5 linked regions of the Canis lupus familiaris genome follow. The protein of the gene in region 5 interacts with the protein of the main gene of each other region in a biochemical or structural test. Links are inferred from orthologs where the notes say so. Each region holds a gene or a part of one and is shown on either strand. Other genes may lie near its edges. The genes, in order: RAD18, RNF40, RNF20, UBA1 and UBE2A.

Region 1 (5,358 bases), on a different chromosome or scaffold from region 5:
CCCTGAGATCGTGACCTGAGCGGAAGGCAGATGCTTAACCAACTGAGCCACCCAGGCACCCCTTGACCCCAAGTCTTTTTTTCCTCATAATTCACATCTTGCAAAACTAATTTTTGGAAGATTTTGGGGTCTGGTCACATAAAAGAGACTGTGACATTTAGAACATTTTATTCACAGTACCCTGACAGGCCAGTTCCTCAATGTGGGTGACAGCCCTTTACCCATTCTGTGTTGAATCATATCAGAGTTGATTCAAAGAGTACTCCTCCCTTTGATGTCTTCAGATTCGCAGGACTGTTTTTTTTTTTTTTTAGATTTTATCTATTTATTCATAGAGACACCCGGTGTGGGAAGGGGGAAGAGAGAGAAAGAGAGAGAGAGGCAGAGGGAGAAGCAGGCCTCATGCAGGGAGCCTGACGTGGGACTCGATCCTGGGTCTCCAGGATCACACCCCAGGCTGCAGGCAACGCTAAACCGCTGCGCCACCGGGGCTGCCCAATTCTGAGGACTCTTAAATGCATTACTCACTTTCACTAAATCATGGAAGAAGGATCAGTGTTATTTTCATGTTTGGGGAATCATCTATCAAGCTCATGTTTTAAAATTCTGGACAGAAATTGTTCATTTCTGCTAGTGCTTTTCATCGTAAATGTCAGTGAACAAACAGTTTCTCATTTGAATTTCAGTCATAAGTTTAATTGTCTATCTTTGATAGAAATAAATGTTTTAGATACAGACTTAATGAACTGTCCTTCACAGTGTGCTTGTATAAACTCCTATAAAACGTTTCAGCTCTTGCTACCCACTGTGACTTTATTTAGCTGTAATTTTACCTGTCTTGTGGAGCCCACCAGGCAATTTTCAGAAATGTAATCTTTTGAGGGTTTGCAGGTCTTTCTATAGTTAAATAGTTATCTCTGGCTTTTGGGTGTTATTGATAGAGCATAATAGAAATAATTTAGCCAAGGAATGGTACTGTTGGTTAGTAGAAAAATGTTTGGTTGTTTTCAGTCTATGTATATTCAACTGTATTATCTCTCAGTATAACCTTTGTGCAATTTATGTCAGATTTACCCTATGGAGGCTTGTTAACATAGATTTTAGGTCTCTAATTTAGAACTTAATCTTTGCTACGTAGGTGATGTGGAGACATGACCAAGAATCTGCAATTTAATAAACTCTCCTGGTGGTTCCAAGATCCACTATAGTTTGTGTAGCATGGCCTTGAAGGCGAACTAGTTATATGCAAGTCCTCTGTAAAATCTTGGACTTTTTTTTTTTTTTTTTTGGATAAACCATTTACTTTCAAGTATTTATTAATTTTACTGGAAACTTTGGTATTTTAATTTTGAAATTATTGGAATTGTAATAGCTACTTTGAATGCATATTTATTAAGCACTTAATTGCCATGGTGTTGTGCCAAGTAATGTACTCAGCCAGTTTATAAGATTAAGTAGATTAAAGCTCACTAAGGAGTCCCTGTTTATAAAATTATCTCGAGTCATTGATACCCTTAGGTAGTTTGACTTCTATTCCATTTTGTAATGTTTATTAACTGCTTTTTTGAGGGAGCAGAAGAAAATAATTTAATAGGGCTTTGCTATATTAAATTATAGTTTGTGCTTGTCAGCATATTAATTATATAAGTAGAATGAAGAGCCAGGTGGTGGTTTTGCTATTACACTTAAAATCCTTATATATTTAATATAATTAATTGAAGTTGAAGAGAATAAAACCCATTTATATTTTTTGCTATTATTCACAATCATGTTCTTTGAAGATGATGCCATAAGAATATTATCTGCCTGTCAACTTTCAGAACTCTTTTTTTTTTTTAAGATTTTTATTTTATTTATTCATAGAGACAGAGAGAGAGAGAGAGAGTGAGGCAGAGACACAGGCAGAGGGAGAAGCAGGCACCACACAGAGAGCCTGACGTGGGACTCGATCCCGGGTCTCCAGGATCACGCCCTGGGCTGCAGGCGGCGCTAAACCACTGCGCCACCGGGGCTGCCCCAGAACTCTTTTTTCATTGGCAGTAATAAATTTGGTAAAGCTAACCATCCCAACATATCTTTTATTTAATCTAGAGCTTTTGCACAATGATTACCTCCACTTTGAGGGGACAGTTTTGCCTATGGACCAGCACTTTTTCTAAAGTAGCTATATTCTTAAATCCGTAGTCTTAATTTCAGTAGTGTTTGTACTCTGATTTTCCGAGGTAACTGTTTTTTGCAGAGATTTTACATGGAAACCATGGATGTGTTTTAGGACAAACATGCTTTAAAACACTGGAGAATTGAGGATGTCTATGTAAGTGTGTTTCTAAAGTGAGGTTTTCATAGCATTTAGTGCACAAGCCTTCCTTTTTTTTTTTTTTTTTTTTTTTTTTTTAAGATTTTATTTATTCTTGGAAGACACAGAGAGGCAGCAACATAGGCAGAGGGAGAAGAAGGCTTCCTGCAGGGAGCCCGATGTGGGACTCGATCCCAGGATCCCAGGATCATGACCTGAGCTAAAGGCAGATGCTCAACCACTGAGCCACCCAGGCATTCCAGTGCACAAGCCTTCCATGGGCATCTTGGGCCTGCATCTTTAGGCCTGAACTCTTTTTGAGGCCTGTGTTTCTCTAAGGTTGGCTGCCACCTACACCCCGGTATCTGAATGTGCTGTGGGTACCTTAGAATGATATGTCCAGCACCGTCAACTTTATTTGCAAATTTAATTTTTCTTCTCTTTCCCATTTTTATCTTAATGGTTCCACTATCTTCCCAGTCATACTGGTACTCCATCAGAAGGCAAGTTAACTGTTTTATGTGAGGAGCATTTGCTAATTCACAGTAACCCTAAGTGATCTCTTTCTTTCCCTTTTTTAGTTCTATTCACAAAAGGAAGCCTCTGCCCAAAACCGTATATAACTTGCTCTCGGATCGTGATTTAAAGAAAAAGCTAAAAGAGCATGGATTATCTATTCAAGGAAATAAACAACAGCTCATTAAAAGGCATCAAGAATTTGTACACATGTACAATGCCCAGTGTGATGCTTTGCACCCTAAGTCAGGTAAGCTAATAAAGCAATGATTTCTGCTTGTTTTCTGGTTAAAGCAGTTTTGTATAGCTCAGGGATTATAAATCATAGAAAAAAAATTTAATGAATACAATTTTGATAATAGTTGAGACATGTAAATATTTTCCTTCAAAGGTACCTAGAATATACTCTGATAAGCCTTTCTCCCAGCTGGTCTGTCAGCCACTATTCCTTTCTCAGAAGCAACCACTGCTGCTGGTTTCTTTTGAATATCTTTCCAGAGATAGTATGGAATGAAGAGTTGATCTAGAGAGCATGGGTTATAATCCCAGTTTTGCAGCTTTATGACCAGGGATTTCGGGCAAGTTACTTCTCTCAGTTTTCTCATCCATAAAATAAGTGTTATAATACTATGGATTGCATAGTATTTTTGAAAGGAATAAATGAAAAGTGCATAGCACCATACTTTAGCAAATAGTTAGCATTTAGTAAGTGTTATCATTATGATTGTTAATTATACACAAACATATGTCTGGGATTGTTGTTTGGTAAAAATTTAGTATTATAGGGGATCCCTGAGTGGCTCAGTGGTTTGGCACCTGCCTTCAGCCCAGGGTATGATCCTGGAGTCCCGTGATCAGATCCCACATCGGGCTCCCTGCATGGAACCTGCTTCTCCCTCTGCCTGTGTCTCTGCTTCTCTCTCTGTGTCTCTCATAAATAAATCTTAAAAAAAAAAAAAATTAGTATTATATACAAACTATTTATTTATTTATTTATTTATTTTTAAAGATTCTTTTTTTTAAATTTTTATTTATTTATGATAGTCACAGAGAGAGAGAGAGGCAGAGACACAGGCAGAGGGAGAAGCAGGCTCCATGCACCGGGAGCCCGATGTGGGATTCGATCCCGGGTCTCCAGGATCGCGCCCTGGGCCAAAGGCAGGCGCCAAACCGCTGTGCCACCCAGGAATCCCCCAAACTATTTATTTAATGGTTTGTCCTTTTTATTTAACCACACGTATTTTGGAGTTCTTTGAATTATTAGCATATATAGAATTGCCTGATTTTTTAAAAAACTGAAACATAATATACAAACAGAAAAGTATACAATTTGTATTGTTTGGTGACTTATCATAGGAAATTTCACAAACAGAAAATACCTTTGTGACTATCTTTTAGATCAGAACCAGCATCCCAAAAGCCCCTGTGCTCCCTAACTCCAGTCATTCCCACCTTCATTCTCACAGATGACCACCATCTTGACTTCTGACACCAAGGATTATTCATTTTGTCTGTTTTTGCGATGATAAATTCCCTGCAGAGTAAGTGAGCTGAAATGACGTGGGCATTGTGATGTAGTGTTAGGCTGCTCTTGATCTTCTTTTGACAATTTGTCAGAGGAAGATCATCTGCTTCCCAACTGTGGTTATTTGGGAATTACCAAGGCTGTGGAGGCAGGCCACAGCTAAGGGGGGACCTCCTGTGTTTCCATTCCCCAGGTCAGTTAGGCTTCAGTAATACCCCAGGTGATTAGGCTCTGTTTAACTAGTTTCCTGTGAGTGCAAGCCTTGTTAAGAGGAAAGTGCCCTGGTATATTTGAAAATGGTTCCTTTTCCTCTCTCCTTGCTTGAAGCCATAGATTTTTCTTCGATATTTACTGTAAGAAACTTGAACTCCTGAAGGTGAATCTCGCAGTCTTGTCTCCTCTACCATCCTCCAACCACAACTGGGTCTCCCTGGGGTTTTTTTTTTTTTTTTTTTTCCACTCTTCGAGGTATCTGCACAGGACTTCCAACAATTAATTAATTACAGTTTAGGTTTTCCCATCTTTTGTACTGTTCCCTGCTGCAGTTTCTGCTTGTAAGTTTCTGCTAAGGTAAGCCATTATTCTCTGTGTTTGTGGGTCTCCACATTCTTGGGGGCATTAGTTTGCCCTATGTCCTCCCCTCTATTGTGGATCTAAGAAGAATTGCTGAATTTTTAACCTGTTCAGCTTTTAATTTGTTAGGATGGAATGCCAACTTCCAAGCTCCTTCTATGAAGAACTGGAAGTCCATTTCATTTAAATGAACTCTTACAAATCTGTGGCCTTCAATGATGAACTTCTTTGATTTAGCAGAATATTTTCAAGGTTATCCATTATCCATTGTTAGCACTACATTCTTTTTTATTGCCAAATCTTTCATTGTGTGGATATGTTACTTATATTGCCTATTCAGTCTGGGATTTTCTCTCTTTTGGCTCTTGTGAATAATGCCACTATGAATATTCACACACAGATTTTTGTGTGGAATTGCTGGGTTAAATGATAACTGCATTGTAACATT
Region 2 (5,969 bases), on a different chromosome or scaffold from region 5:
CAGCAACCAAACCCCACCTGCTCCAAGGCCTCCGCCAGGTGTTTATTGAGCTTCTGCTCACGCTTGCGCAGCTTCTCGATGTCCCACTGCAGATCCTCCACTGTCGTCTCCATCTCCAGCACCTTGGTCTCTGCTGATGTCACTTTATCCTGGAGCTCAGAGTACTGGAGACAATGATCGGGTCAGATACTTAGAAGAGAGGACTTGGCTCCCTGAGAGCCTTGGTGCACATCTAACCCAAACCCTGCCCTGGTTGTAATCCCACCTCCAATGAGATGCGGTGGTGCTTCTCTTGTAGCTGGGTGGCCAAGTCCTGCAGCCGCCGGTTCTCACGACCCAACTCCCGGGTACGTGCCCGAGCCACCTCACCGGGGGGCTCACTGTCCCCTGAGAAGGCAGGGCTCGGGTAAGAGCCAAGTCCAGGGCAATGGGGCAAAGTACTAACTCATTCTGGAGTCTGCTATGTGCCCAGTGTGATCCACCAGCTGTCTTGCCAATTTCTCATGACAAAGCCAGGAGTCTTTATCCCCACTGCACAAAGGAGGAAACCAGCTCAGAGAGGAGAGCCATCTGCCCAGAATGCCCAGTCTAAAATGACAGGATGAGGGCTGTCAGCCTGCAAGGCCTAGACACTTACTACTATGCCTCATGAGTGAGCAACTGCAACCAAAATCTGTGCAAAGTGCTCCAAAGAGGTCTTCGGCTGGAAGACAGTGGCCCCTTAAGCATCAACAACTCCTCCCACCCAGCTCACTAGAACTCAACCCCGTGAATCAAAAGCAGAGCCCCCTCTACAACCTACACTTTTCCCTGAGAACGTGGCTGATTCATTCCTTGGAAAATTATGGCTGCCTCTGGGCTCAGGCATTTAGGGGATACAATGAAGACACAGACAGGGATAGACACCTCTGCGGTAGGACACACAAAACTAACCTCGGCTGTATACTCGCTGACAGAGTTCCTCCACTCGGCGCTGTAGGCGGTCTGAGGCCTCTACAACACGGGACACAGCTGCCTTGGAGAACTCCATTCGGCCCTGCAGCTGCAGCTCCACCTCCTCACTACTGCTTGCGCCCAGTGCTACCACAAAAGCCAAAGCTGGCTCACTGAGGGGGGGCCGCAGCTGCACTGGTAGGGGCTCTGCAAGGAATGGACAGACCCTCGTGAGAATCTCACGAGGGGACCAGCAGCAGTTACCACCACTCCATACCACGTTCTAGACCAAGCCCTTCGCCACTCAATGCTCAATGAACCAACACAAGCAATGCCTGTAATACACTGGTATTACATAACTACGGAGGTTCAGGGAGCTAAAATAATTTTAAGGCCACAGGACTTCCAAATCTTCCTCAGAGAAGCCTTTTCTGCCTTCTCTATCTAAATTAGAACCATACACATGAGTGCATATACACGAATTCTCTTTCAAGAGTCCCTATCCTTTTTATTCATGATTTAAAATCACTTTCTCTCTTGGGTGGATCCCTGGGTGGATCCCAGGGCGTGATGCTGAAGTCCCAGGACTGAGTCCCACATCAGGCTCCCTGCATGAAGCCTGCTTCTCCCTCTGCCTGAGTCTCTGCCTTTCTCTTGCTCTCTGTTTCTTTCATTAATAAATAAATAAAATCTTAAAAAACAAAAAACAAAAAACTTCCTCCCTGATGGCAGAGGCAAGATTTCTTATCTTTGTCTCTTCTGAAGCTGTTAACAGTACTACCTATGTAGATAACACAAGATACTGACAGTTTTTTGAACTAAATGAGTGTCAAATACGACATGCAATACGAACCAAGTCACTCAGATTTCAAAGCCTGGGGCCTTACCTAACACTGCACTTGCTGTCCAAACATCATGAAATCGTTGTGTGTGTGTGTGTGTGTGTGTGTGTGTGTGTGTGAAGGGTGGTGGGGAATTCAGTAGAGTAATATGAAAGTTCCCTCCACTCCAGGACCTTTCCCAGAACTTAATTAAGCTGCCCAGATCCTAGGGCTCTGGCCCTACCCCTCAGTTCCGATGTCCCTGGTTCTGTGAGAGGGGTCTCATCACGTGCTGGCCCCTCCTGGGTCCCAGGCGCATCTGTCCCTGAAGACAGCTCCCCCTGGCTCTCATGGTGTCGAAGAAGGGCTTCCACAGTTTCATCCAGCTGAAGGGAGAAAGCACCAAAAACGTTATGAATCTCTCAGGTGCTTCCCAGCATGATACTCCTTTCCCAGCAGAGTAGTCTGAGGATTGGCAGCTGGATCGAGGCCAGGTCTTGGAAAGCAGAGGGGCATCCACCTGGGCCCAGTAGCGATTGACAATGAGCAGTGTGGCATCATCTGTGGCCTGCCGCTTCTCCAGCTTCTCAATTCGTTCTCGGAGTTCATCTTCACAAGCCTGTCGCTGTTCCAATCGCTCTGCTAGTTTCTTGTTCTTGAACTGCAGAACCTTCAGGTCCATCTCCTCCTACCAAGAAAAACAAAGGGGCAGAGGAGAGGGTCAAATAGAGCCCAAGAAACCAGTCACAGAGAGAGGCAAAAGAGAGCAACTGGAATGGACACAGCAATGGTATCCCCAGACTAACCACTAACAGAATTTAAAGAGGTTCTGACACCCCCAGAGAAAGCATCTTGATTGTGAGGAGGGTCAAGTCCTGCTTTTGCCTCTAGCTCTCAAGTCTTTGACAACTCACACTCCCTTTGGGAACCTGTTTCCCTATCTGTAAAAGGAAGGCAGACGTCGTGTTCTCGGTTTCCTTCAACAGAGGATTCTGTAAAGTGGCTCCTGCTAAGCTTGGGGAGCTAGGATGTAAGGTTCTGGACGATCTGGGCGGAAACCAGAGATGGGGAGGCTGGCAAGTTGTGAGGACTGAGGCAGGAGCCCACGAACCGTAGAAGAGATGCCCCCAAGACGAATAGGCTCTATAAGCGTGGTCGTGGTCTTCTCCTCGCGGCTCAGCTTCTTCTCTGGGGGCCCTGAGCCCCCGTCGCCGGCGGCGCGTTTGTTGCCGGGTCCAGACATGGCCGCGGCGGCGAGGAGCGGCGCAGGGTCTCCCGAGGGACGTCAAGCAAGCGTAGGCAGCACTTCCGTCACCTGCAGAAGACAGAGAGCAGAGATGTGGAGGCGGCCACTGCTCCGCAGCTCCAAGCCTTCCCCGCACACACCTGATGGATCCCTCCCCCGCCAGCCCCGGGCCCCTCACCCGCAGCAGGCTCAGCCTAGCGCCATCTTGGACTTCACCGGACGTCACCGGCCTCCTCAGCCAAGAGCGCAAGCGCCGCAGGCAATGCCGGATGTGGCGAAACTTCATTTCCTGTTTCTATTGGTCGCGCTTTGTCCCGCCTCTCGGGTCTCCTTTGGTTTCTTCCTGAACACCTCCTCTCTCTCCCAGTGATTGGCCAGTAGACAGTTCCCGTGGCAACTGACACCACACTCACAACCCCTAGCTCTAAGGGCATCACCGGCATCCTGTTAGCCGCTTTGAAGCCAGGGCACCCAGACGGCGCCTGAAACTTATTGCGCATGTGCATTTCCTTCTCACTGATTGGCGAGCGTCCTACCCTTGCTCCCTCCCACCACGAGCTCCCTTAGCAACGGTCGCCGTTGAGACGGAGGGAGACGCCCCCTGCGGATTGGTTACACCGGCCTCTCTGCGGCGTAGATTGGCTGAGGCGTCGCTGGAGGGAGGGCTTGGCAGTCAGTCCCGGCCCCAGAACCGGCTTTCCCAGGACCCGGGCGGGACACAGCCTGTGGTGACCCGTGACGAGGAAGAGCGACGAGATGATCCGCCAGAAGTCTAGCCAATTCATGGGGCTGAAGATGCAGTCGGAGTTTGAACAGCCCTCCGAACTGCAGCGGGAACTCGAGAAGGACCTCAGCTCTATGGAGGAGTCCGTCACGCGGATAGCAACAGGTGTGCGGACCGAGTCCGGGACCGCGGCCGGCACCGCGGCCTCGGTAGCAGCGGATGAAGATCCTGCAGCCAACTTGTTCCCGGTGAGGGCGGGACAGAGTGGTCCGCTCATGTTTGTAGAAGGGCTTCCCGGCAGGGTGCCACCGTCCTTATGCTTTTTTTTTTTTTTTTAAGATTTTATTTATTTATTCATGATAGTCACACAGAGAGAGACAGAGAGGCAGAGACACAGGCAGAGGGAGAAGCAGGCTCCACGCAGGGAGCCCGACGCGGGATTCGATCCTGGGTCTCCAGGATTGTGCCCTGGGCCAAAGGCAGGCGCCAAACCGCTGCGCCACCCAGGGATCCCCCGTCCTTATGCTTATTAACGTTCAAGACGTTTCCTGGGTGCCTTGGTGAAGAGGCAGGGGTGTGTGACTCCGATTGTTAAATGCTCATGAATAGTAGTACTTACGGCCTTTTGAAGCCCGGCCTGCCAGCGTTGCTCATACATAACCTTTAACATGAGAAGGCAAGTTAGCAGGTTCTCAGGCCCGCTGGAGATTCCCGAAGGGTCAGGGACTGGGGCCATGGACAGCACGGCTCCGCCTGCCCAATCCGCTTTCTCTCCGCAGCCGCCGTTGCCCCAGCCCCGGATCTGCATGTGGTGAGTGTGAAGTCTTGGGGAAAAGTTACACTTTACACTTGGCATTACTCCTCCCCAACAGTCCTGTCAAACAGCTAGGGCATTCCCCATTGTACAGATGAGGAAACTGCAATTATCCAAGTTAAGTAGAGCCTTCCTGCCTCCCCAGGCCAAAGAAGGAGGGTGGGTGGGAAGGATAGAGCCAAAGACTAAGGATGTAAATGGAATATGGACTGCTATGGAGCACTGTATAAATGAAGACACTGAAGCCACATGGGGCGTGGAAGAGTCAAGAATTCAAGTTTCCTAATCCTCAGCTTTCTAAATGAAGAGGATTGTAAGAATTCGTTTAAGCCATATCCCTTATTTATTTATTTATTTTATATCCCTTATTTAAAGATGAAGAAAGTTATACCCAGAGAGGGTAGTGGAAGGGCTAATCTTCAAACTCAGGTCTCCTGGTTCCCAGTCCAGTGTTTTAGCCATCCTAGCCCTGTCATGAGACTAATGCCTGACGGCCACCAACACCTTTTCTCCTCTTTTCTTATTACAGGAAGTATTTGGACATCCACTCCATGCACAGGCTGGAGAAGACAGCCAACACTGAGGAGATGAGGGAGTATGGGGGGACACAGGGGCGAGCAGAGGAACTGGCTCCTGGGGGAGTCTAAGGGGGCTAGGCTGAGAAGGCATGAATGCCTGCCTCCAGAGCACATGGTGCACCAGTGTGGGGTGGTGAAGGGAGGCTACTTCAGTCCCTCCTTCCTGTCTCCCTCCCAAGGGTGCTAGCTGAGCTCTTGGGGCTAGGCTATCCTGAGCAAAGCCTGCGGGATGCCATCACCCTGGACCTCTTCTCCCATGCACTCATCTTCTGCCGCCAGCAGGGCTTCTCACTGGAACAGACATCGACAGCTTGTGCTCTGCTCCAAGATCTTCATAAGGCCTGTGTTGGTGAGAGAAGGCTACCAAAGGGCTTGAGCCCAGGGGACAGAGGAGGCTGGGATGGTCCAAGTGACCACAGGAAGTAGTGGATTACCACCTGCAATCTTTGTTCTGTCATCACAAGCAGTATCACCACACACAAGTTATTTCAGCTGTGAAACCATTTCCTTATACACAGCACCAACTTTATGAGATTGTTCTGAGAAATACTGTAGGTAGTATTCATAAATAGAAACACAGTGCTCAATAAAATAGCTCCTCTTCCACCTCCCACTTTCTTCCTGGGACAGATTTCCTGCAGAATGTTTAACAAGAGCTGAAATTGCATATTTCTTATTTTATCGTATATCACTTAACGGCAGGACCTCGCCTGTCTAGAATGCCTAGGATGGTGCCTAGAATGGTGCACTGTGGGTACTATCCGTTGAGTGAGTTAATGAAACAAGCAAGGACTTAAACTTAGATCTGTTGACTTCCAAAGCTCATGCTTAATGAGTAGCTGGTGAATGAGTG
Region 3 (6,145 bases), on a different chromosome or scaffold from region 5:
CGTTAAGTCTGCAAACTATAAATCGGCATACAAAGGTGAGCTCTTATTTTTCCCCGTTCTCCCAGTCTCCTGGTTCTTGCCTCACCTCCACTATTTAGTTTGCATGATAACAGCTCCACTTTCTCTTGTAATTTATCATAGACAGTCACGATCTGGGACACAGCTCGGCGGGAGGACTCCACTCGCTCCTGCAGCTGAGATTCCATTTCTTCACTGGAACTGCTGGCCAAAGTAGCAAGGAAAGAGAAAGCTGGCTCTTGCCCTTCCCCTGAGGACACAGAGGGGAAAAAAAAAAAGCTGTCAACATGATAAAAGTGGAAATACCAAAGTCTTCTTTCTTGCCTCAAATAGAAATCCTGAAAGCAAAGCTCTACTTCCAACACCCACACAGCATGTGGTGGTAGATCCACTACAAATACTCACCTCTCTCTCGGTCATCTTTCCGTTCCTGATTGCTATCAGAGTCCGGCTCTGGTTCGGGCACGACAAGGGCTTTCCTTTCTGTGAGGAGATCTCCCAAACCCTGCTCCAGATCGTACCGTTTAAGGATGATACGGATGTTTTCATCAAACTGAGAAGGGTGGGTACAACATTTATGAAAAACCAAAAGAACACAACTTGAGAAATGAAGAGTGCTGAGAACAAAAATGCTCAAATAAAAACCTGAGCAAATGAATGAGGCAGCTACCTGACTCCAGTACCGGTTGACGATCAGCAGTGAGGCATCATCAGTGGCCTGTCTTCGCTCCAGTTTTTCAATGTGCTCACGGAGTTCATCTTCGATGGCCTGCCGTTGATCCAGCATTTCTGCCAGCTTGCGATTTTTGGTCTGCAGTGTTCGAATGTCTAGCTCCTCCTGCCCCGGGAAACCGATTTTATTAGTCTCCCCAAAGAAATCAGGCAAATCAGCTGTTAAATTCAACAAGGTCACATTAATTCGTTATTGCTATGACTAAAGCTGTTCATTTTTTTTTTTAAATCTTATAACAAATCATTGGATAAGAAGTAGGAACAGAAGAAGAAAAGGAAAGAATCTGCGATGATGGGAAGTGAGAATGTCACTCATATACTAGGACTTGGACTTCGCCCATCTCACTGTTCTTTCTCATGGACATCCACAAAGTCCTGTGAGGCTCCACTGTTCAGTCAGAGCACCTTCCACCCTGATCAATGCTGCCACCCATCTCCTCAGCACTGCCCTTCACTCGATCAAGAACCTCGGCACCTGGGCCCTTCTATGCCCCAGTGCCTGCCAACATATGCAGTGAGCGCAATATGCATGTGGACATGAACACATGTGGACAGACCATCGAATCCTCTAGCAGCTACGCTGCATTCTGAATTCCTTAACTCTAGTGAGTATCTCCCCCATTGTGCTTCAGCCACACATTTCAAAGGCCATATCTTGGACTTCTGTCATTATCTGTAACTCTGTCACAACTGAGACCTTAAATTCCTTGAATAAAATCTTATCTTTCCAGATACCTTGTGCCCTTATCCCCATATACCAATCCTCATCTAGATCTTCCAGGATTTTAATTCTCTCCTTTTTCCTTGTCAATCCCTTCTATCTCCACTATCTTCCATACTTGACCTCAACTTGTGCTCAGGATCTCATTCCCTTCTGTTTCTGCAAAAATATCACTCCATCAGTAATTCCACACCTCTCTCAGTATCTTTAACTTTTCACCCTAACCTCTTCCCTAGGACAAGTTGGGAGGTAGAGGTCAGGGAGGGAGAACCCTGGCACAGAAACAAAGGATTGGAAAGGATTACACTTTTACTTTACCTCGAAGTTCATGAATATTTTAAAGTAAGCACTGTTTATTAGAGCACCAATATCCTGTTTTGCTTTTATTCTCCTTCTTCCATTTTATTCTCCTTCTTCCAGTGTTAAAACACTTGATATGCCAAATTAGTCAATAGTTCCAAACGTATAGTTATTAATACCATTAATAAAAGATATCCTTAACCTCTTCTCTGAGCCCTCCTTTCCCCTTCTTGCTCTAACTGAAACCAGGATGAGAATACGGTTTCCCTGCACATTTCTCCAGCACTGCCCTGGGCCAGAAACAGGCAGGCATCCTCCTGCCACCCTGCCTTCCTGCACTGGTCTATAAATGTGCCGATTACTTCCCCATGTTTCCTTAAGATTTAGTACCTAGCTTATCACTCTCCAATGCTACTACTATCACGGTTCTTACTGATTACAATTCCCATATAGATGATCTTTCCTGTATCTCAAATCCTCAAGTCGTTGACTTCCTTTCCTCCAATGATATTGTCCTCTACCTCCCTCAGCCACCAAACTCTGTTATTCTTATTCTTAGCCTGAGCTGTACGTGTATGCTCTCTATAAGCTGAATTTCAAACACCCCATTTTCCACAATTACCACCTACTTGTCCAGCTCATTCTCTCGGGTTCCCTGATTCCTCCAATTCTTCACTTTCTCCAGCACCTACAATCATTGGTCCTCTATCTTTCCCATCCTTCACTCCTCTCACTTCCTCACTCCCTTTCTTTCTTGAACTTGAATTCCATGATCAGTCATAATCATCTCCTTTTAGAACCTCTTCCTTCCTTGCTCCTTCTCCACACCTACCTGGTAAAAACCCCACCCGTGGTATCATCCACCTCTCCACTACTCCAGGCCTACATCCATGCAGCTGAATGTGACCACAAAACAAAGTACCGTGCTGCCTGGGCTCACTTTATCTCATGATCACAGAGTCAGGTAGGTCCTCAGTGCTGCCCAGCAACAATACTCGATCTCTCTAGTCCATTCCCTCTTCAAGATGACTACTTCATACCTTCTCCTGTCTCTTCAAACCTCCAACACTTCCTCCCCCATCCTCACTCTCAGATGAGTCGCCTCTGATTTCACTGAAAAAGAAATAGAAGCAATCAGGAGAGAATGTCCACATCTATCTCTCATAACTGCAACTACTGACCTACCTACAACTGAACTCATATCACTGTGTTCCTCTTTGTTGCTATGGATCAACTGCCCCTGCTCCCAGTTAAAACCAATTCCCCACTTGTATGTTACATGCCATGCTCTCTCCCCTATTCATGAAATTCACACCAGCAACCATCTCCTCTTTCTACTACCTCATCAACTTTATCATCTCTACCAAATAATTTCAATCAACCTGCTGTAATAGCTCCTATCGTAAAAACAAAACAAAACCACTTTCCCTAAACCCCACATTTCCCTGTGGCTAATGCCCCATTTCTTTGTCTTGCAAAGACAAAGTCATCAATACTCCTGCAAAGCACGGTCTCTACCCTCTTTTCTCTAATTCCTCTCCTCTCCTATTCTCTTCAGCTCACTCCAATCAGACTTCTAGCACTACCACTCCATAAACACAGTTATCAAGGCTCCCGAGAACCTTCCACTGCTAAACCAAATGTCTCAATGCTCCCCCTACTCAAACCATCAGCAGCACCTGAACAACTCCTTCCTGAAACTCTCTTCATTTGACTTCTGGGCCCCCAGTCACTCTTGTTCTCCATCTACTTCATTTTCTGTCTCTTTGCATCTCTTTGAAATGAAAACATCACAGCGCTTCAGGGTTCTGTTCTCAATCAAACCTCTTCTGTATCTACACTCGCTTAGAGCCTCTAGTCTCATGGATTTAAATACCTCCTCCCAAATGTACAGCGTTACCCCGACCTCTCCTCAGACTGCAGATTATAGTATTCAACCACCTACCCACTCAGATGTTTAATAAGTATCCCAAACTTGCATGTCAAAAATCAAATTCCTGATTCATCCTCCACAGCTTCCCAAAAAGTATGTTCCTCTCCTACTTCTCCCTAGCTCAGTAAGTGGACAGTCTATACTTACAAATTTGGGGATTTCATAAACTTCATCCACTCCACCAGCAAATCTTGTCAACACTACCTCCAGGGTGACCCATGCAACCATGATCCCTCATCAAGATTACTGCAATGTGTTGGCAAATTGAACTCCAATAAAAAAATAATAAATAAAAAAGATTACTGCAACAGTCTCCTGTAGTGGACACTTTTGTTCCCCATGCCATGTCCTGTCAGTCTCCCAGACTTCAGCACAGCCGTGGTGGACAGCTCCATTCATACAGGCAGTGTTCCCACCTCAAGCCACCTGGAATCTTTTCAACTTTTGTTCCACAATCTCAGCTGGCTCACTACAGCAACCTTGAAGTGCAGAAGAAGAGATATTGCCTATAAAGGCAACCTTCAACCAACTGGGGCAGGAATCAGTGGAGATATGTCCCAACTCCCCACCCATAATGGGAAGGAGAAGAGGGCGAAGGAACAAGGGAACAATTTTGCTAACGTTTCAACCTCTAAATCTTGCTCCTCTATAATCTATTCTCCAAGCAGAAGTCAGAGCATGTTACTCTCCTGCTTAAGACCTTCTAATGACTTGTGGATAATGTCCAAACTGGGATGAATCCTGTCTGCTTCCCTTAGAGCCTATGGCTATTTATCCCTATGAACATCACATCTCCCACTCATAAATATTAGAACAGTCTGGTCTCTTGGCAGTGCCATCTTAACAAACTGAAGTCCAGGGGTTGTCTTCAGTGTAAAGCATAGTATTTAGAAATAACAGATGTTCAACAAATATTTATATTTACTGAATTAGCAAATGTCCTTGGGATGCATAACGTGATTCAGTGTTAAGACAAAATCACCTCCTGGCAGCAGTACAGAGTAGTTGAACCCCAGACAGACTCAGAAATGACACTTCATCAACTATTTACTCTGAATGTTCCCATTTTCTCTTTCATCTTGAGCCTAATTCAAATAAGGAAGAGATGTGGTTTCATAAGCTATACAAATGTAGCATTTTAACACCATATCCCCATGGCTGAGTTTCAGAATACAGACTCCTAATCTAGATCCACACTTATTATAGTGAACTTCTGATGTCTAATGGACATATAACATTACTCTAAGCTTCTGGTGTAGAACAGTCTAATGAATCTGTCAACTCCATAATAGCAAGGACAGTATCTATCTTATTCACCATGATAGTCATAATACCTAGCCCAATAATTATTATTAATAGCTCACATATATGGAGGAGTACTTACATATTAAAGGTAACATTTCGACCCTTAACAGGGGCTCTTTCATTTTATCATCTCAACAACCCAATGAAGTAGGTACCATATTAAATTTTATAAACATGGAGAAGAGGCACAGGGAGGATAAGCCATGCAGCTAGAAAGTGTTAGTGCTGAGAGTGAATTCCAGGAAGTCTGGCCTCAGACTGTGACCCATCACAACTCTCTCAGTGATTTTGGAACACCGCCTCTTAGTACCTAGCACCTAACTTTTCAGTGAATGAAAAATGACTGTACAGTTTCCCACTGTTGAATGCCTATAATCAATGTGTATCAGGCACCACACTCTCCAGAGATCAGAAGCATACCTTTGGAAATAAAGATCAAATGTCAATATACTCTTTTCAGAACTGACCACATCATTTCACCTACTTCTGCCTGTTTTATTTCCCTCTTTTCAAATAAATTTTTCTTAGACCAGAAGGCTTCCATAAATTCTTACTTTCAGCTTGTAATTGAGAAAAGAAAAGCACGCTCTCATAGAACTGTTTCCACATACCGTGGAGGAGACACCTCCAAGCTTAATTGTCTCCACTGTGGTCCCTGAATCTTCAACGGCTGTCTTCTTCTCCGGAGGCATGGATGTGCCAGGCTCTCCAGCTGCTCTTTTATTTCCAATTCCTGACATCTTGGCACCAGATGATAGCTGTCTTCCTGGAGAGGGGAAAAAAAAAAAAAACAGAAACTTTGGTAAGATATGAAAGAAGAGCAACAATAAAGAGATCACTTCCAAAGTAAAAACTAGCAAGTTTTCTGCCAGCCTCTTAACCTAAATCCATGAACTTCATACCAAGGAACACAATCCCCATATTCCTCCTGGAAAGAAAAAAGTGAAATGTGGAGTTAAGAGTCAGGGCTGAATCTAGGCAACTACTAATTTCTAAACAGGATGCTGATAAGGAGTAAGACAAATGGGACAATGGGCAAAGAATGAAGAGACTAAGAAAAAAGAGAAATCTCACTTCCTGAAATGCCAGAATCAGAATAATAGTTTGAATGGGACAGGAACCAAATCTATTGTGTT
Region 4 (5,358 bases), about 51 Mb from region 5:
GGATAAGGGTGGGACAGGGAAACACAGAACTCAGTTATTCATGCATTCACCCAACAAACCTCTACAGGGCCATCCTCCTAAAAATGGGTTTACTTAATGCCTGGGAAAAACCAGGCTCTGAGTTCAGAAGGCTCCCTGATTTAGCAGGAAATAGTCTGTGACAGTACCACATGGCTAGGGCTGTGACAGTAGTGGCAGGGGCTCAGTGGAAAGCGAAGCAATGAACAAATGTAGACGAGAAGCAAGAGGCCACCATCTGTTTCTATGACTACCCAACACCTATTGTTCTTTCCGGTAATAGCACCCAGGCCTGGGGTCCATCCTCTCAAACAAAACAGGATCTTTCCAAAGCCTAGGTCAGTCACATCCCTCCTCTGCTCAAAACCCTCCTCTGGCTTCCCCCTCCACAGAGGAGAAAATGAGTTAGCCCCTACTTCCTCTAGCTCATCTCCTACATCCCACCCCGCCAACAGGATCCTGGCCTAGGGTGCTCTGAACCCAGAAAAGGGGTCTCTACTCCCTTCTACCCTCCAGGTGTGCAGGACTGAGCCCTTTCCTAACCATTATAATCGAAACTGCCAACCTGTCTTCCAGACAGGCCCAACTTCCCTTAGCTTGCTTTGGTTGTTTCCTTTGCACAGCACTCATCAACATTAACTACAAATTTATTATACTGTATTGCTTGCTTATGGTCTGTCCTCCCTCCTTAGAACCTGTGTTTCCTTGCTGTATCCCAAGTGCCGAAAGCGGTGCCTAGGCCAATGACTACCGATGACATCACTGAATGGAAAGGAGAACATCTTTAAAAAAAAAAAAAAAAAGGGCAGCCCGGGTGGCTCAGCAGTTTAGTGAGTTTAGTGCCATCTTCGGCCCAGGGCCTGATCCTGGAGACCTGGGATAGAGTCCCAAGTCAGGTTCCCTGCATGGAGCCTGCTTCTCCCTCTGCCTGTGTCTCTGCCTCTCTCTGTGTCTCTCATGAATAAACAAAATCTTTAAAAAAAAAAAAAAAAAGAAAAAAGAAAGGGGAACAGATCCCAGGCAGGCAAACAGGGCACTGTCCCCCATAGAAGGCTTCCCAGCTCGAGCCCCTGAATGACCTAGACTCCATCTGGCAGAGAAGAGTGACCCTAACACAAACGTTCTCCTAGGGAAGGCCTACTGGCAAGATCAACCCTTGGTCGGCATCTGGGAACCTGGATTTCCAGAGGGTTCTCACCAGGCCTTACCTTCTAAGGGCAGCTCACTGTACCTAGACTGCTTATGCAAAGTGTGGTTTCTATTGAACTCCTGCTTTCCTTCTGGGAGGCTGGAATTTGGGTATGTGCCCAGTGGACGGTGCCTACGTGACCAGCCCATAGTACAAACCCTGAGTACTGAGTCTCTAACGAGCTTCCCTGGTTGGCAACATTTCACACGTGTTGTCACAACTTGCTACTGGGGGAGTTAAGTGTGTCCTGTGCGACTCCACTGGGAGAGGAGTCTCGGAAGCTTGTGTCTGGTCTCCCCCAGATGCCTTTTCCCTTTGATTTTGCTCTGCATCATTTTGCTAGAAGAAATCATAACTGTGAATAGGGCTAGAAGATGAGTCCTGTGAGTCCTCCTAGTCAATCATCAGACTTGGGGGTGGTCGGGGGGACCCCCCAACACACTGGCCCAACCAGCACTGATAACAGGTCAAAAAGAAAAAGATGAAAAAATGGTAGATTCAACGCAAGGATGCTCAAGAAATGTTTGCTAAAGGAGTGTCGCAGAGAAACTGAAAGAGCTGAAGGAAAAAGATGGAGAGGCCTCCCTCCTTTCCAGAAAGAATGGAAACAAAAGACAGGAGGAAAGGGAGAGGATAAAATCCCACTCCCTTCTCCTCATTCCACTCACCGTGACATCCCATGGCCGGAAAAGAAACTGCCGGTTCAGATTTGACTTCTCAATAGTGTCCATGTCTGTGACAACAATTTCTCCACCCTCCCCACAGCCCAGCCCAATCATGGCGAAGTTCTTGAGCAGCTCACAGCCAATGGCACCTGCACCCACCTAGAAGGTAGCGAAGAAGACAGATAGAGCCTGGTTGGGGTAACACAGGGGAATGTGACAGTATGCATCACTCCACACTCCCCACCCCCTACCCATGACAGAAGACAACAGGAGAGGTGGAGTGGGGCTTGTGCCACATCCTCAAGTCCCAGGGCTATCAGAAATAACCCAGAGCCATCTGAGGGAAGGCAGCGCCAGAGGAGGAAACAGAAGGACAAACAAGGCTTTCTCTTGAGATAAAAAAATGAGTGGCAAAAGGCACGCAACAGAGTTACAAGAACCAAAAGACCCTCCCTTGGGACGCAGGAGACTCCAGAAGAGGGGGCCAGAGGCCCAGGGAGATGAAGGCAGTGGGTGTCTAAGGGGGTCACACTCACTAGGAAGTACTTCTGTTTGCCCAACTTCTCTTGCAGGTCTGAGCCAAACACGGCCACCTGCCCATCATAACGGTTCTGGCGCTGAGGAATGCGAAGGGAGGAGGGTCAGAGTGTGGGGGGAGCCTCGCCAGAAATGCCCCCAATGACATCTTCCCCATGGGCCCCACTCCCATACCGGGTGGCACTTGTCTTCTGTGAGGGCCTCTTTGTCCTCAGGGAGACACTCCAGGGCATCAAAGTACAGCCACTGCATGATGGGCATAAACTTCCCAGAGCAGGCCTGCGGGGTGGGGAGGAGGAAGCGGTCAGTGGTTAATTGAGGCAGATGGACAGTAAGTGATGGAATCAGGGACAGGCCTGGGCCACTGTTGGCCCTGCCCTTCCCCACTGTGCTGACCTTCATGACCTCCTGGGCAGCCAGGCCCCCAATGAAAGCGTTTATAGGGGCCAGATCACCAGCAGCCACATAGGCCAGCTTTCGGATGAGGTCCTCATCCAGGCTGTCCTGCTGCACTGCTCGCAGGGCTCGAGCATTCACGGCCCGTGCCAAGGCCACCAGCTCTGTTGCATCTTCCTGGTGGGGCAGGAAAGACCAAGAAGACCTCAGTCAGGCCACTGTGGGAAGAGGGATTGGGGGGGATGCAAAAGGAAGGGAGAGCAGACAGGTAGAGGCATACATAGGTCACTGGGCCTGGCTGGCCCACCCACTCACCCACCTCATTGCGGGGCCGAGGGGGCCGGCCATGCTGAGCACAGAACTGGTGTAAGGCCTGGAATCCAAGGTGCAGCTGGGCAGGGCGGGAGTACTTGGCAAAGTCTGTCATCACAAAGTCAGGCTCTGCCAGTGAGGCCAGCAAGGATTTCTGTGGGGGATGGGACATCAGAGCCTAGAAATGCCCAGGACCAACCCCTCCCCACCCCCACTACCCACCACACTCACAAAGCTGATCTTCTTAGGTACTTTGACCTGACTGACAATGCCTCCACGGATATAATCGGAGAAGTTGGAGGTGTCACAGATGCTAAAGGTGTAAGGACCTAGGTAGAGGAGGAAACTGTCAAGCTACCGGCCCTCCCCTAAAACCCACAATACCCCCAAGATAAGGCAAACTCCATCCCTGACCCAGCTCAGTCATCAGGAGCCAACTCTCCACCCCAGGTCCTGCTGGGACATCAGAAACCATGTCCCCTCTGCCCAAGACACAGGCTTGCAACCCCCTTGGGCCCTTGGACCCAAGTCTATACTAGAAGACATTCTCTGCCCCTGTCTACATCAGCTTAGACAGGAAGTGGATCGTCTCTGATCTGCTCTGTTTAAACACCAAAGACCTTCCCCCCCGCTTAGCGCAGACGCCAAGGACCTATTCTCCTAGGAATAGCTCAAACACCAGACAGTACCTCTACCCCATGCCCACCAGCTCTGGTTGGACCCAGGGGACTCTGTCCTGGTTCATCTCAGACACCCAGCATGTGTCTTTCTCCCCTCGCTCAGAGCCCAGGGACATACCTCCTACCACCCCTGATTCCTCCTACCACCCCTGATTCCTCCATGGCCTTAGCTCACCCAAGACTTTGATCTCCATGGGCTGACTTCCATTGAGTTCAACCATGCCCTGTACTTCTGAAAAGGAGACATAGTCGCCACTCTCAAACCCATGTCGGGCCTCATCCAGGCAGGTGACCACACCGGGGCTATCCTGATTAAAGGAGGAGTGAACCTCAGAGGCAGACTCAGGGTACCAGGAGCAGACAGAAGGCCTGCTGCTGCCCATTGGCATTCTAGGACCCCTGAGGCTCATCTCCTTACCTTAGTGACCATAGAAACCATAGCACTGAGTGGCTGCTCCCCATTGGAATCTGTGAGGATCATTTCCTCTCCAAAGTCACAGAAGAGCTGCCTGTAAAGGGAGGCAACAGGGCTGAAGCCCCAGAGTCCCATGCTCATGGGGACCGGACATATCCCTTGAGATAGAACAAATACTTGCTGAGCAAATTCAGTCCATCACTGCTGGGAATCACACAGCACTCATGTTACGTGGGGAGGGGTGGACACACAGAATCTGAAACCCGGGTGGCCAAGGGGCAAGGCAATGAGAGCTTAGGGGTCTTGGCGCAGGCCTGGCAAGGGTCGGGGGATGAGGATAGGGGCACTCACCCAAACAGGCCCCGTGTGTCTGCCACCACCAGCTTGATACCACGGCTGTGACAGAACTCACCGACCCGCAGCTGGTCCTCCAGGGGGGTGTTGGTGAGGACCACCACCTGTGGAGAGGTGGAGGCTCAGGACAAGGGCCCAGCACTGGGGCAAGAGGGAGAGAATAATGCAGGAAGGCCGGAACCAGGGGGGACTCAGAAGAGTCCTTAAAGCTTTCACAGAATTATCTACTATGGTTCCGTGGATACTGTCTCCCAAAGCATCTACTACGGATCACATTCGGCCAGGGTGAAACCCAGCAAAAAGAAATGCGAATCCCTACACCAGGGCGGGCAAGGTAGCAGACAAGGTAATGAGGCAGCCAGGAGGGGAGAGTGTAGAGAGGAGCTGACTCATTTACGCATCAACACCCACTGCTGCCCGCCTACAGGCCTGCCTTGCCCTGGGAGACACAGAAGTAAACCTCCCTTCACAGCCAAAGTCTGAGCTCACTCCTACCACACCCATTTGCTTCCAATTCTCCAGACAATGCCTGCTGAACCAGGTACCTTGGGACTTTTCTTTCTACCCGAATGCTCACCCTTGCCCACCAGGGTGAGCTCCTACAACTACTTCAGGTTCAGCAGCAGGGTCCGGCCACTGGGATGCCCCAGGGCACAAACTCAGCTCCCATAGCTCCTCTTTCGGGCTCAGAGTTTTTATTTAACAAATAACCAGATGGCCCTTATCATGCACCAGCTGCTATTCTAAGCACTTAGCCCTCACAGAAACTCTACAAAGTAGGTACTACTACCG
Region 5 (5,827 bases):
ACCAAGTACATGCACTTAAAAAAAATTCTTCTTTTTTGATGACTGGAAATTCTGATTTTTAAGTTAATACCCAAATACTCTTCACCATAGGATATATTTATCTCAAGAACACCCTCAGTGGATTTTAAGTGATTAACCTTTAAAAGACTTAAACCAAATTCTTAAGAATACAACTATTACAAAAAGCAAATACTGGGATACCTAGGTGGCTCAGTGGTTGTGTCTGCCTTTGGCTTGGGTTGTTATCCCGGGGTCCTGGGATCAAGTCCCGCATCAGGCTCCCTGTGGGGAGCCTGCTTTTCCCTCTGCCTGTGTCTCTGCCTGTCTCTCATGAATAAATAAAATCTTAAAAAAAAAAAAACAAAAAGGAAATACTAGTATCTTACTGTGTGTAATCAACAATTTTTAGATGATGTGATGGAGAATACTTTATTCCATAGTTTTTGTATTCAGCATATCTTGATGAGGAAGCATTGCCCCCCCCAGTGTTTTTGTTTGGTAGTATTAAGTTCTTGGGAACATTTTCCTCTTACTTTAAGTGTGTGAAGTTAAATCAAAATACCTTCAAGAGTTCCTTTTCTTAAGTCTTCATCTTTAATTGGGGCCTGGCTGTTCCAGAAATGTCCCCCAGTTTACAAGGAAGCAGCAAAAGTAGTTTTGGGACTGCTGATTTACATAATACATTGGAAACAGCAAAATCAATTATGCCCCTTGTCTCTAACCAGTCTTTTCTAGTAAATGTCCTAATTGTCAATAAAGGGTATTAAAAAATAGTCAAAATATTTTTTGTAGCCACAGTTTGTGTTCTAGACACCTGAGGAAGCATCCACGGATAGCAGACTGCTCAACAGAATGAATCAAAATTGTCATTTAGCTGGAGTAGTTCCTTTCAGTAATGCCAGTATGGAGATACACCATCATCAAGAATAGAACCAGTGATGTCACTGGGGAAGATCCAGGTAGATAATGGATTCCTTAAGTACCTTCTCAATTCATACCACTTAAAACAAGTGAAGCACCCTTGAAATATTTAAGTAGCCAATCCTCCAGCAAAGTGATGTACTATTAATAAAGCTGTGCCCAGCAGAAAGCTGTCTGAGTAAAGTCAGGAGGGAAAAAAAAGCAGCCAATGAAAACAAAGCCTGCCAGAGCTAAAGCAAACACACAGTTAATCTGCACACAATGCTTAGGTATAATGAACTAGCACCAATCTAGTAGAGGAAAATTAAGTCAAGCTAGCTCTTGCCATGGATCAGTTCAAAAGATTTGCTGCAACAAAGTAGTATGCCTTTAGAATCACTCTCTTACTGTCATTTCTTTTTATTGCAGCACTGAAGAGCAGTGACATTTACTCAGGGGGCGGAGATAGAGAGGAGGCTAAAAGTATTCAGGTGACTGTCCATAGTCTCTTAGGGAAATCTGAGTATTGGAAACAAATTAGAGAAATGGTTGATACTGCCCTCCCTCATCACACTTTGTGGACTGGTAGCATCAAAAAGAAATCCAAAAAAAAAAAAAAAAAAAAAGCAATCCAACTCAGCACTATAAAGTATATACTTAGTAGCTTGCAGAATGTTTTTGTTCCCACCTTCAAACTGAGTTCTGTGCATGCGTGTGTGTGTGTGTGTGTGTATCAAGTACTAAATAAGTAAAGGAAGATGGTCATTGCAAAAATTAACAGAAAGATCCTTTTCTTTTTTAAATACCTCAAATATTAAAAATGTCGATCAGTAGTTCAAATACTTTTAATCGTGTTTTAAATGTATTAAGCTTTTCAAAAAACGACTACACAAGCATGCACACAATTGAATGCAAATAAAACTATATCAATGTCAGTTTCCTGGCTGTGATATTTTTGTCACATTTTGTCCTGAATGACAGTCATTCAAGATGTTAACAAAGGGGTGGGAGAATGGGTGAAAGGTATACAAGGTCTCTATTATTATCATTATTAGTAGTAGTAATTTTAACTGCAGGTGAATCTAGAATTATCTCAAACAGTTAAAAAAAAAACAAAACAAAAAGCAACTAACATGTTTTTAAAAGTCAAGCCTAAATCCCTTAAAAATCCTGTATCTACAGGTACACATAGTACCTCCAAGTAGGTTGCACACTCGTCAAGAGAGTACATTAAGGCTCCCCTCAATTCCAAAGCTGCTTTGAGAATACTGACCATAAAGTCTTGATAAAAGCACACCAAAAACTCTTTTAAAAATAAGAAACAACATAATATTCAAACTGGCCATTAAAGGTGCCATTAAAGACCATCTTAGAGCAGTAGGCTGACAGGCATTCAATGCCAGATGGTAGAAACTGGACAGTTCTGTGCAAGGGATTCATGCACTCATCCAAGAAACACATACCAAGCAGCTGCTGAACACAGTTCCTGCCCTTGTGGCAGAATTCTGAACTAGGGGGTCTCTGTGTCTATCAGCAAGTGATCGGGTTGATACTAAGTCAGTTTCCTGATAGGGGGCCAAATTTAGCAGGTTCACAGCCCAAACCCCAAAAATCCTTAACATCAATCTATGATGCTCCTCTTAAAAAGTGATTGCCTTACCCGGGTTGGGGTATTTTTTTTTTCTTTCTTTCTTTTTCTTTCTTTCTTTCTTTTTTTTTTTTTTTTTTTAGCAAGCAAAAAGCAAGAAAAAAGGTGCAGTTCTAGTCAAGCGGACAATGGCCAGAACAACCTGCCACACTCGGGATTCCACTCAAGCCTTTAGCAGGCAGAGGCTAGGGAGAAGCGGGCTCTTAAGTAGGAGGCACTTCCAGCATGACTGGGAACCCCTTCCCCCAGATGATCAGGCTCCTGAAAGGTGGGTAAAGAAACTCTCTTACCATCCTCAAACGGGGTCCCTTCAGGCCTGCAACACAGAGAAAAACAGTCAGTTCCCGCTTAAGGGGCTCCCTTCTCCCTTAAGAGGTTCACCTTAAGAGAGGGCTATTCCCAGCTCCGCCAACTCCACCTCAGGTAAAGCGCCGCTTCCTGGGGCAGGAAGCCACCACAGAGAGAGGTTTCGGGCTCGGCAACCGGGCGCAGGCCGCCGCGCCTAACCGCCACCACTCCCCGCTCCGCCCCCCTCAGAACCCCAAACGGTTCCCCTGGCAGCGGGAACTGAGCTAATCGAGGCACAGGCTCCGGGGAGGCGCCTAGGCCCAGCCGGACCCAAACATTTCCCCTCTCACCCTCCGTCCCCGCCGGGGGCCGGTGCCCTCGGGCAGGCTGGGCCAGCTCGAGTCCCTCACCCGTCGCCACCTCCCGGAACGCAGACTCACCCAAAAATGACCGCGTTCCAAACCATTATGTTGTTCTCGGACGGAGCCCCGCTGACTCCAGCCGGAGGATCCTCCTGCAACCTTCAGGGAAACAGACAGGGGCTCCGCAATCCGGCACTCGCGTCCGCTCCGGGCCGCCCCCCGCCCCCGGCCCGCCTCGGGACCCGCCCTGTGCCCCGCCTGGCAGCCCCCGGCCTCGCCTCAGCGCTCCCCGGCGCGTTACCTCTTGAAGTCCCGCATGAGGCGCCGCCGAGCCGGGGTGGACATATCTCTAGCGGGGTCAGGGGTGGGGCATACACCGAGGTCTCGGGTCCCTGCGGACGCTGAGGAGGCCGAGGAGGCTGGAGGAGCCGAAGCGGCCGCCGAGGAAGCGCCCAGAGGAACGGCACTGCCCCTCCGAAGTCGAGGGTCGGTCTGGCGCCGGCTAAGCACCACCCCGGAGTAGACGGGGGCTGAACCAACCTGGAAGGAGAGGGGGGGTGGAACGCCTAACGCCGGACAGGCCGTACCAAGACAGGGCGGGGGGGGGTGGCAAGGAAAGTTGCTTAGGTCATTAAACCCCGGCGGGAGGCGGGGAGCGCCGGGCGCGTGCGGGAGTGAAGCGAGCTGCCGGCTGCGCGTCAGCCTGGAATTCGCTAGCAATTAGTGGTGGAAGGGGGTCCTTCTTCACCCGCCCGGGCCAAGCCGAACCCTGAGGAAGCTTTCTTCTCTTTTTCTATCTTTTTTTTTTTTTTTAAAGATCAGATCACTTATTACAGTGCGCACTGTGGCTGGGGGCGGGAGGGAGGGTGGGTAGAGAAGAAGGTTGGAAGTCCCCAAGGAGAAGGGAGGCGAGAGTAGGTGGAGGCAAATCTGGCTCTCGGAAAGCGGGAACTCTGGGGACACGGGAGGCTGGGGAGGAGGGTGTGTGACTGGTTCAAACCGCTGAAAATCAAAAGAATAAATCGGCCACGGCTCTGAAAGGGAGCTGTGGGTCCCTTGTCTGGGAGATGAATGTACGGGATTCCGGTCCTAATGTTTTAGGCCAATGATCACCCCAAAGCAAAAATAAAATAGTGGGGTGTGTGTGTGTGTGTGTGTCCTGGGGGAGGGAATGTGAACTCAAGGCAAGCAGAATGAGGTTTTCGCTCTGGGCACTCACAATTTGGCTCTGGAACCACATTTTCCCCTTGGCAGTTCAACAAGCCAAGCGGCTACTATATATTCAGAAGAGTCCAAGGTATGAGAATATCCGACTGCGGAGAATTGGAAGGGCAGAGAGTCTGAAGTAAAAGTAACGGTAAGATGCACGTGAAAAAGCTGCAGGCTGCAGAGAGGAGTCACAGTTAGTATGTGGACCTGCAAAAGCAATAACAGTTTTAAAGAATAGTTTGTAAAGGTAAACCCAAAATAACTTAGAAGGTAGGCAAAACACTCATTTTAAAGAATTTCTGAAAACATGAGAAAGGTGAGTTTCGGTTACATCCGGGAGAGTTTGGAATTCCAAGCTAATGGATTCCTTAGAAGGTGGCTGCACATAATTAGAGCCAGTGCTAGTCACAGATGGGTCCCAGGAGAGCAGCTGGGAGACACTTGAAGTAGTCCAGGTGAGAAACACTGAGCCAGGCAGTGACAACAAAAATAGAGCAGAGGCGGTGAATGGAGAGGACTCAGCGACAGATTGAACTTGGGGTCCAGAGGGAGGAGGGAATCAGCAAAGGCTTGAGTTCTAAGTCCCCAAAGTAAACTGGGGCTTTGAAGGTGCCATGAACAGAGTGGGGAACATGGTGGGGAGGGACAGTTTCAGGACTTACTGAGTTCATGGGACTAGTGAGGCATCTGAGCAAAGACATCCGTAAAATAGCAGATGTGCAGAAATTTGTTTCTGAGGCGGGAGACACTTGACAATGGTAATGATTCTAGCTGCTGCTTAACAGCAGGTACTTTGATGGGCAAGGATTTATATCTCCCATTGACACCAACTTTCCCCTAACAACATTCACACTGTGACTGTGGTGGGCAGGGGGTACAAAAATGAGTTGAAAATCTCCTTTTCCTCTCATCTCGTAATTGGCAGGCAACTGATACACACACAGGTAATCTACAAAAGCAAGTGCATTTGTTTTCATTTGCTATTTAACAGATTACCACAGGCTGTTGGCCAAATTCAGTTCCTTGCAGTTGTAAGGACTGAGGCCCCCATTTGCTCACTGGCTGCCAGCCAGGGACCATTCTCAGCTCTCAGAGGTCACCCACATCCCTTGCCACTTGGCCTGTTCCATTTTCAAGTCAGCACCAGAGAACTTCTCTCCTGCCAATGCCCCCTCACACTTGGAGTCTCAAGAAGAGCCCCAGTTCACTTTAAGGGCTTATCTCATCAGGTCCGGCCCACCCTGGGTAATCCCCTTACCTTTCTATCGTCTGATTTGGGACCTTAAACACATCTGCAAAATTCCCTCACAGAGAACCTAGGTTAGTGTTTGATTGAATAACTGGAAGAAGGTGTGTGGACATCAGTGGCCAGGGATCTTCAAATTCTGCCTGCCAGAGCAGCAGCGTGTGCATCTGCAAA

What was found.
Region 1: the proteins of UBE2A (region 5) and RAD18 form a complex in vitro, tested with the Homo sapiens proteins (12 studies listed by BioGRID, with this or other methods). The link is inferred for Canis lupus familiaris from reciprocal best matches to the Homo sapiens genes UBE2A and RAD18.
Region 2: the proteins of UBE2A (region 5) and RNF40 form a complex in vitro, tested with the Homo sapiens proteins (3 studies listed by BioGRID). The link is inferred for Canis lupus familiaris from reciprocal best matches to the Homo sapiens genes UBE2A and RNF40.
Region 3: the proteins of UBE2A (region 5) and RNF20 form a complex in vitro, tested with the Homo sapiens proteins (4 studies listed by BioGRID, with this or other methods). The link is inferred for Canis lupus familiaris from reciprocal best matches to the Homo sapiens genes UBE2A and RNF20.
Region 4: of the proteins of UBE2A (region 5) and UBA1, one has a biochemical effect on the other in vitro, tested with the Homo sapiens proteins (6 studies listed by BioGRID, with this or other methods). The link is inferred for Canis lupus familiaris from reciprocal best matches to the Homo sapiens genes UBE2A and UBA1.

The regions. Positions count from the first base shown.
Region 1 is NC_049241.1:9,272,640-9,277,997, forward strand, and holds part of RAD18 (E3 ubiquitin-protein ligase RAD18), read left to right. Parts: intron 1-2,877; coding exon 2,878-3,062; intron 3,063-5,358. UniProt on the Homo sapiens protein: E3 ubiquitin-protein ligase involved in postreplication repair of UV-damaged DNA. Postreplication repair functions in gap-filling of a daughter strand on replication of damaged DNA.
Region 2 is NC_049227.1:17,573,653-17,579,621, forward strand, and holds the start of RNF40 (E3 ubiquitin-protein ligase BRE1B), read right to left. Parts: upstream 3,334-5,969; 5' UTR 3,179-3,333; intron 3,070-3,178; 5' UTR 2,998-3,069; coding exon 2,866-2,997; intron 2,443-2,865; coding exon 2,275-2,442; intron 2,141-2,274; coding exon 1,999-2,140; intron 1,141-1,998; coding exon 934-1,140; intron 388-933; coding exon 266-387; intron 165-265; coding exon 18-164; intron 1-17. Other genes in the region: CCDC189 (coiled-coil domain-containing protein 189), read left to right, coding at 3,757-3,972, 4,504-4,535, 5,068-5,133, 5,296-5,465.
Region 3 is NC_049232.1:58,595,892-58,602,036, reverse strand, and holds the start of RNF20 (E3 ubiquitin-protein ligase BRE1A), read right to left. Parts: upstream 4,131-6,145; 5' UTR 4,100-4,130; coding exon 4,008-4,099; intron 2,885-4,007; coding exon 2,812-2,884; intron 857-2,811; coding exon 689-856; intron 572-688; coding exon 424-571; intron 269-423; coding exon 86-268; intron 1-85. UniProt on the Homo sapiens protein: Component of the RNF20/40 E3 ubiquitin-protein ligase complex that mediates monoubiquitination of 'Lys-120' of histone H2B (H2BK120ub1).
Region 4 is NC_049260.1:40,996,150-41,001,507, reverse strand, and holds part of UBA1 (ubiquitin-like modifier-activating enzyme 1), read right to left. Parts: intron 4,671-5,358; coding exon 4,564-4,670; intron 4,307-4,563; coding exon 4,216-4,306; intron 4,106-4,215; coding exon 3,973-4,105; intron 3,447-3,972; coding exon 3,349-3,446; intron 3,272-3,348; coding exon 3,125-3,271; intron 2,983-3,124; coding exon 2,806-2,982; intron 2,689-2,805; coding exon 2,584-2,688; intron 2,490-2,583; coding exon 2,409-2,489; intron 2,032-2,408; coding exon 1,876-2,031; intron 1-1,875. UniProt on the Homo sapiens protein: Catalyzes the first step in ubiquitin conjugation to mark cellular proteins for degradation through the ubiquitin-proteasome system.
Region 5 is NC_049260.1:92,286,567-92,292,393, reverse strand, and holds the start of UBE2A (ubiquitin-conjugating enzyme E2 A), read right to left. Parts: upstream 3,746-5,827; 5' UTR 3,544-3,745; coding exon 3,500-3,543; intron 3,358-3,499; coding exon 3,277-3,357; intron 2,865-3,276; coding exon 2,839-2,864; intron 1-2,838. UniProt on the Homo sapiens protein: E2 ubiquitin-conjugating enzyme that accepts ubiquitin from the ubiquitin-activating enzyme E1 and transfers it to a E3 ubiquitin-protein ligase. In vitro catalyzes 'Lys-11', as well as 'Lys-48'-linked polyubiquitination.